Linked DNA regions of Macaca mulatta. The protein of the gene in region 1 interacts with the protein of each later gene in a biochemical or structural test. Links are inferred from orthologs where the notes say so. Each region holds a gene or a part of one and is shown on either strand. Other genes may lie near its edges.

What was found. The genes of interacting proteins can lie anywhere in the genome.
Region 2: the proteins of ZEB1 (region 1) and USP51 form a complex in vitro, tested with the Homo sapiens proteins (2 studies listed by BioGRID). The link is inferred for Macaca mulatta from reciprocal best matches to the Homo sapiens genes ZEB1 and USP51.

What each region holds. Positions count from the first base shown.
Region 1 is NC_133414.1:32,868,584-32,872,083, reverse strand, and holds part of ZEB1 (zinc finger E-box-binding homeobox 1), read right to left. Parts: intron 1,653-3,500; coding exon 1,450-1,652; intron 1-1,449. UniProt on the Homo sapiens protein: Acts as a transcriptional repressor. Inhibits interleukin-2 (IL-2) gene expression. Enhances or represses the promoter activity of the ATP1A1 gene depending on the quantity of cDNA and on the cell type.
Region 2 is NC_133426.1:55,459,881-55,464,018, reverse strand, and holds the start of USP51 (ubiquitin carboxyl-terminal hydrolase 51), read right to left. Parts: upstream 2,801-4,138; 5' UTR 2,728-2,800; exon of another isoform or gene 2,417-2,727; intron 2,318-2,416; 5' UTR 2,115-2,317; intron 1,937-2,114; 5' UTR 1,888-1,936; coding exon 1-1,887.

The DNA.
Region 1 (3,500 bases):
TATAATGGCATCTTCTGCTTTCACCACCAGTTCAATCTGTCCTCTCCTTTTACGATGGCCCTTGGAGTAGAGGGAATACAGTGGCAGCAGCTCAGGATGGGTCTGCTTCCTGAATGTCACGTGAGTAGGCTCTTTCCCAAGCCTTGTCTACACCGTGGCCACATCAGAGCGCTAAGGTATAAAACATACTCTTCTGCTGGTCTGTGTCTGATAAGACTCATTAATAGGGGCACTTAGAAGGAGACGGTGTTTGCCTTCAGTCATCCCTTCTCTGTATTAATTTCATCCTTCTCTTGGAGCTTTTACCTGTTTCAAGTGCTCCTTCATGGGCTTATGGACCATTAACCTATAAAATCTTGGTTCTATTCTCCCTGATTGCCACCCTCTTCTTCTTATCTTGTTATCATGAGTACTGTTGCCAAAGTACTAAGGAAATAGGTTGACTCTGCTCAGTCATTCTTTTTCTGTTACAATTTTTTGTTGTTGTTTGTTTGGCCTAGCCATCACCTTAGCAAATGGTCTAACTTGTTCTCTATGGGATATGTGACACATATTAGGTACATCCATAGGACAGAGTTCAGGTGTGTAGATATACATCATTCTTTGATGTAAGAAACTGGAAATATGCCCTAACCCTAACATATACGCTCACAAACCCTGTGTGGTTGAAAATTTATTTAATTTTTAAAGTTACAATTAAGGCAATATTAATTTCATTGTTGATGGTTGATAGTTATGAGGACCTTGTAAAAGAACAACTGATAAAAGCTTTCTTGACTTTAATCCTAAATACAGAACCAGCAATTTAAATGTAACTTACAGTTAAAAAACAGTCTTGGTTTATGCTCTAAAAACTGTGGCACAGTGACATAGAAATAGAATAAACCATATAAAAATTGAGTTTTCAGAATAAAAAAATCTAAGCTTCAGATTTTTAGAGGAGGCAACTCCCTTTACTATGGCAGAAAAAACAAAACAAAACAAAACAAAAACCCACAGTAGTTTATACTGAGAATAAATAGTAACTGGTTCAAAGAAAATTAAACTTTTAAATTTGACTTTCTTGTTAATTTGGTTAGTAAAATGTGGTTTATATAGTCAGCATTTATTTTTCCTACACTGAACATTTTAATAGAATGCAATTTAAAATCTTCTAAACTTGAAGAATTATCTGTTATGGCATAAGCAAAATAATTAAGTCAAGATGGAAAGGGTCTTATCTGAAAAAAATGCTGAGTTACCTCTAAAATAACGTTCATATGTGGTTTTTAATCTCAGGAATGACCGGATAACTCAAATAAATAATCACTTTCACTTTTATAAGGCTGCAGATATAGCACTGTTTAGTACATTCTTTTAACGTTTAAATATATTAAAATCCTTGCCTTCCATTGAGGGCTGAGTTGTCAAAATCTGGAAAGTTAGTGAACTCTCAGTCATTGCACTTACTTGATCTCTTCCTGATTTATGTGATGTCATGTGACGTTCAAGTTGGGTTCTGTATGCAAAGGTGTAACTGCACAGGGAGCAACTAAAGTTATCTTCGTTCTTTTCATGACGATATTTAATGTGTTCTTTCAGAGAGGTAAAGCGTTTATAGCCTCTATCACAATATGGACAGGTGAGTAACTGTGAAAATGCATCTGGTGTTCCTGTAAAAGAAAGATCATATATTTTAAACTTAAAACATTCAGAATATATTACCAAAGTTTCCACTGACTCCCTATGCTATGTTCCAGATATTGTGCTACCCATTTCATATTTGATCCTCAAAACAATACAATGATACTCACCTCTATTTTATAAGAGAGAGAACACTGGTGCCCAGGAAGGCTAAATAACTTAAAAGAAAAGTCACAGAGCCAGAAAATGATGAAGTCAGGGTTCAGATACGGGCTGTCTGACCTTCAAGTCCCATATTTTTCCCTGAACCATAATTCTTCCCTTTTGTCATGTGATTAGCCAGAAAAGAAAACAAAAGTAAAATTAGAATGTAGGTTGCCTTTGTAAGTGTATACAGATTAAAGGGGAATTGTGCTCTACAACAGGGTCTACTGGTAACAATGGTATGTATCATTATTTATTTAAGGTTTATTCCTCTGATTTTGAAAATGAAACTACCAAGTCATTATCATCAAAGAGGAAACAGTACACAGACTGTTTCCAAGAGCCCCTTGCAGGTAGGTGTGGCCACAGGACTGAGTTCAGACCAAAAAGGAAGTGTGTAAGGTGGGGAAGGAAAGACTGATGGGGGCCAGATCTAGGCCTGCTACATAAACACATCCCATGCATGACCCTGCTTATAATTTCCCCTATTGAAATACATTGGCAAATCTGCTATATAACTGTGTATGTATGAATATATATAGCTTTTAGAAAACAAAAGCATTCTGAATAGAGTTTACTGAATGAACTTTATTTTTACACTTGGAGCTGTCTAAGCCTGACAATCCTAAAATGTAGTGTTTTGCCAATTAATACTATTAAACTAAGAGTAGTTTTCCATATTTGATATTTCTTCAATGAAATAAGTTACTAAGTGATATCTTTTTGTAAATATCATCTCTATTTTCATTTTGAATTCACTATAGAAAAACAAACCACCAAAGATAATTTCATAAAATCTCCAAGTGCTTTCTAAACATATACTCCTTTATTAAGTCCATATAAATCAAATGTCTTGCTCAAGGACCAGCTAGCAAATAATAGACTGAGCACCTGAATGTTAAACAGTTGGTCAAACATGTTGAGAGAGGGGCTTCAAGATGGCTCAATAGAGGCATCTAGTACTCACCTTCTCTACAAGGAAAAACCAAAATAATGAGTAGATAATCACACTTCACATAGATCATCTAAGAGAGAACACTGGAATTCAACAGAAAAGTGATAGGAAACACCTCAAGTAAGGAAGAAGGAAGTGAAGCAACCTGCAAAGGCTCTCCAATGCAGGGAAAGAGTAAGTGAGAGACCCCCAGGGGTCCACATTCCCACCATGGACTCCTGCAGTCCTAGCCATGGGAGACCCCTTGACCATTGTGGGCTCTGAGACTAACACAGGGAGGTACCTGGAGGCCACATGACAATGCTGCTCCGGAGAGGGAGCTTATGCTGAATCTGTATATCCCCTGAGTTCTAAGTAGCTACAGCACAGCACTATTTTGAGAGCCCAACCCCCAGCAGACTACATCCTGTTCTGGGACCCAACAGCTCCTTCATCTTCACATGCCTGGAGCCCCTCTGACATACCTCCCTTCACAGCCACCACTGACGCTGGTTGCGGCTGCTAAGGCTGAAGTGCGAACCATTGAAAGTGACCATATTTCCCCCCAGCAGAGGAGCTGCAGACATTTTTACATGCCCTGAGGACAGACTTCCCAACAGACTGCTGCCACTGTGAGCTTCCACCACTGGGGACAAAGTGCTAGCCACTGGCAGTGACCCCAATTTCCTCAGCAGTTGAGCTGCCATGCATTTATAAGGGACCTGAGGACAGGCTACCC
Region 2 (4,138 bases), on another chromosome or scaffold:
CTCTTTAGTGGAGGCCAAAAACGGAGTCATGTCCAGCTCCAAGGGAAAGGAGATAAAGGTATTAATCTTTCGCCTCTGTTTGCCTACATGCTCAAACCGCTTGAGATGAAAACAAGCCACAATGGGTAATTTTTTCATTGTAAGCTGTTTAGTAGACTCCTGGTAGCTTTGGCAACTATTGCATTTGATTTTGGCACTGCTTCCTAGGTGCTCTGGCCTTGTAAACCACTGTAGGCAGTCTGTGAGTGAGGGGATTCCTGGTATGTGGTCATCCCTGCTCACTGTGCCATCAGCCCTCTCTGGGTTCTGGGAATCGAATGTGGCACAAGAGCCAGGCAAGTCCAAACTGATGTCCCAGCATGGGTCTATGGTGGTGGAAACACTATGGCAGGCTTGACATGTGACATCTGATTGCAGGCCACCTGTAAAGATTTGGTCTATGATGCAGTTACAGCAGTTGGGGTTATTGGCCTCCTGCACACCACTATCATCTTTGCTGTGTCTATGCAGCACATCTAATATTGCAATAAGGAACTCATGGGCATCCTGCTGCCTGTACCCTGCTAAATGTTCTGCATGGATCCATATCAGATGCAGTAACTTATAGGGAATGTGAGGAGTTCGGCTCCCAGAGTACATAGCATGAAAAAGCGAAGACATTTCACAGACCAGACACAAGCTGGGGCTTGTCATTATACATTTGTGCTTGTCAGAGAGGAAGAAATCTTTCAGTAGAGGAATATGGGTAAGTGCCTGAACAATACAATTCATAAAACAAGTGTTCCCAAGATTGATTAGCCCTCTCAGGCCTACAGTATAGACTGACTTTTTTCTTCTCTTTTTCTTGGGTTTCACCAATTTTGGCTCCTGTTCCTTTGTCTCACAGGTTGATTGCTTGTCTTCAGTCCCTGATGTCATAAACTGTTGATGAGAAACATCTGTTGAGGTGGAAGTTAATCTCAAAATTTTTTCTTTTGTTTCTTTGGCAATCTGTTCTATGTCTTTGTCATATACATAATCCTTACACATGAAGCAATATATGACCCCATGATAAACGTCTACAGCTAAATGGTGCTGCTTTGTTTCTGCATGTTTGTGAATATGTTTCTCAGTGAAGCAGCCAAAAAAGACACAGGAGAGACAAGAGTGGAGTCTATTCATATGGGTACTACATACATGACAGATGCATGACTTTGCTTTACGTTTCCTAGTCTCTGGGGTCCCACTCCAAACGAAACGCTGGTAGATCAGCCTCAGGTTCTTCTGCCAGTTCTTACCTACTTTAAAGCTCTCCACATGAGAGCAGCCTGTGGGACCCTGACCAAAGTCGACCTCCAGCAACCAGTCCCCTAAGCCGCCAGGATCCCCCGACCCCTCTAGGTCACCAGAGCAGCTTCTCCGTGTCTGAGGCCTGGACCCAGGTCGGGATCTGCGCCGGGATCCACGCCAGGCCCTGGGCCGCGGTGCGGATGGGGGCGGGGGTGGCGGCGGGGGCGGGGGCCGGGCCGGAGGCGGGGGTGGGGCCGACAGCCCAGGCTGGCTGCGGGAGCGGGCCCGGGGCTGGGGCCGAGGGCGGGGCTTGCGGCGCGGGCAAACGGGCGAGGAGCTGCTGTGACAGCGAAGGGGGATTGAAGGGAGCACCTTCTCGTCGCCGCCGCTGCTGGTCCACGTCAAGTTCTCCTCCGGCACGGGCTTAGGCTCCTGTAATGGCTCCAGCTTCATCTCCTCAGCTTCCCGTCCCGAAGACGCCTTCGTCGCCCCCGCCGCCGCCTCCTCCATTTTCCCCGCCTTCTCAACCGCCTCCTCAGGAGAGGCTCCTCCCCCACCTCCGGAGATCCAGCGGGCCCCAGAGCCGGAGGGCAAAGAAGTTTCTGGAACCTGGGCCATCAGATCACTGCTCGACCTGAGAAGCAAGGCGTCTGGAAACGAGCTGCGACTGTAGATGAAACGAGACAGACTTCTGTGAATGATCTGCCCAGCGTCATGGCCGCAGTGCGCAGTTAGCGCCCCCAGGACCCCTCCCATCGGCCCTTGAGCTCAGCCCGCGGCCGCTGCCGGCTCCACCCACTCAACTGAGAGGCCCCTGGAGCTGATGGGGAGACCGAGGCGGTTACCTGCTTTAAAGACGCTCAGATCATGCAGGGGCCAGGGGACTGGGAACAGAAGGCTAGCGAGCGGTGGGGGTGGGGAACGGCCTGAGCTTTAGGACAGAAAGGATGGAAACTTCTTTAAAAAAGGCGCCACCCTCTGTCTGCTTTTTTGCGCCCTGCGCAGCCTCGCTTTGGTGCAGCTTCCTCTGACGTTCTTTCCCTGTATCCTAAAAAACACTTGGGTCAACATTTTCTCTCAAAAATGGCTGAAAGGACGCACTTTTGGAAAATGAACTCAGAGGAAGAAAGTGTCCCTCTGCTCCTACCTTATCTATACTTCTGTGACCCGGTGTGTTCCACGCTAAGCCGTTGCCCCTCAGCGCACTTTCGTTCCGCCCAGCTCTTGCGCCCTCTCACGCTTTTTCGCTCTTGTGCTCTCACACCCCTTTTCTTGCTTCTGCGACTTCAATTCCTACGATTTCTCCTAGAATTCGGATTACTACTCCCTCCCTTCAGGCATTTGCCACCTCTAAGGCCACCACCATCCTCGGGCGATCCCCGAAGTCCCCGCTCCCTTTTCCCTCTCCTGCCCCCGCAACGCCCCCAGCCCGGCGGTTTGTTTAAAGGTCTGGGTTACCTTGGGCCCCAGGCGCGTGATATAGAACGTCAGCAACTGCTGCTGTCCAGGCGCTCCTCAGCCAGCCTTCTCTCCTGACCTCTCCTCAGGGCTGGTCACAAGGGGGCCGCCCCCTGGCCCCTCCCCTCTCGACGTGCGGCCCCCAACCCCGGATTCTGCCCTCCTGCAGTGATGAATGGCACCGCTGTCCCGCGCAGGCAGGCAAACCTCTTCCTGAAACAGACTCTACTGGAGGCAACGGCAGCAACAGATTCTACAGAAAGCCCCTGAAATGGAGGCTCAGGCCTCACCTAGCTCCAGGCCCGCACTCCACAGAAAAAAAGATTCGCCCGGCATGGGGGTGGGGGCTTCCAGAGATGGCAACTCCCTGGCAGAAATCCCTCAGGATCCTGTCAGAGTCTGGTCTCTGGGAGTTGAGAGAGAGAGAGAGAGATTATCCCAGAATGTGCAGGGGAGGAAGCATAAGCAAGGGCTCAGGCTCAGAGAGACCTGAGCCCAGGCACATGCTTGCTGTGTGACCTCAGATAAAACACTTAACTTCTCTGAGCCTTAGTTGTGTCAATTTTTTAAGAGAAATTGAAATAATAACCCTAACCCAATGTGAAAACTAAGTCATAGTATATATCAAGTAAAAGACCTTTTTGGCAAGCTTTATCTTTCACACCTCTTTTTTCAGTCCCGACCTGAAAATCAGCCTAGAGAACAACTCCTGATGCAGAGCAGAGGAGAAGAGAATGCCTTTCTCTTTCGAAGCTCTCTCCAAGTTATGGCTCAGCTCACCCTATCATCCCTCCTAGGCGGTTCATGTACAGGAGCATGCATTCAACAAAGATGCCATCGGTGCATTATAGCACTAGATTGTGCTGTGAGAAGCACAAGATACAACTGTTTGTGTCCTGAAGTCCATAGGCCAGGAGACTTTTCCTTTTCTGTGACAGATCCAGCATCCAAGGTGACAACCCCGGAGGAAAGCTATCTCCAGGGCTTGTTGCCCTTCCTGTCCAATCCCAAGAAAATTACGGTTTATTACAGAGGATGTTTAATGCTACATTTAATCTCTCTGAAAAAGTCACACATCTCCCCTCAAAACCTCACGATTAGGATTCAGCTCTCTTTAACTTGGCAGTGGCATCTAGTGGATATGTCCGCACAGTGGATATCAGTGATTTTATGACTTGGTCTAGATTCGACCATATCTCAGTCACCTACCAGCACCTGGAGGGAAAGTGCTTTGGAATTATAGACTGGCTTGTGCAGGAAAACGTGTTTCTTTTCCCCTAGGGAAGGGCATTTTCTCAGTCACAGCTAAGCAAAGAGTTGCTTCTGCATTCGCAGAGCTAGAAGGAAATGCTGAGTCAGTCGTTTGCTAGCTGCGCCACCTGTGGCGTGGATCCCAGCTGCTCTGAGACAG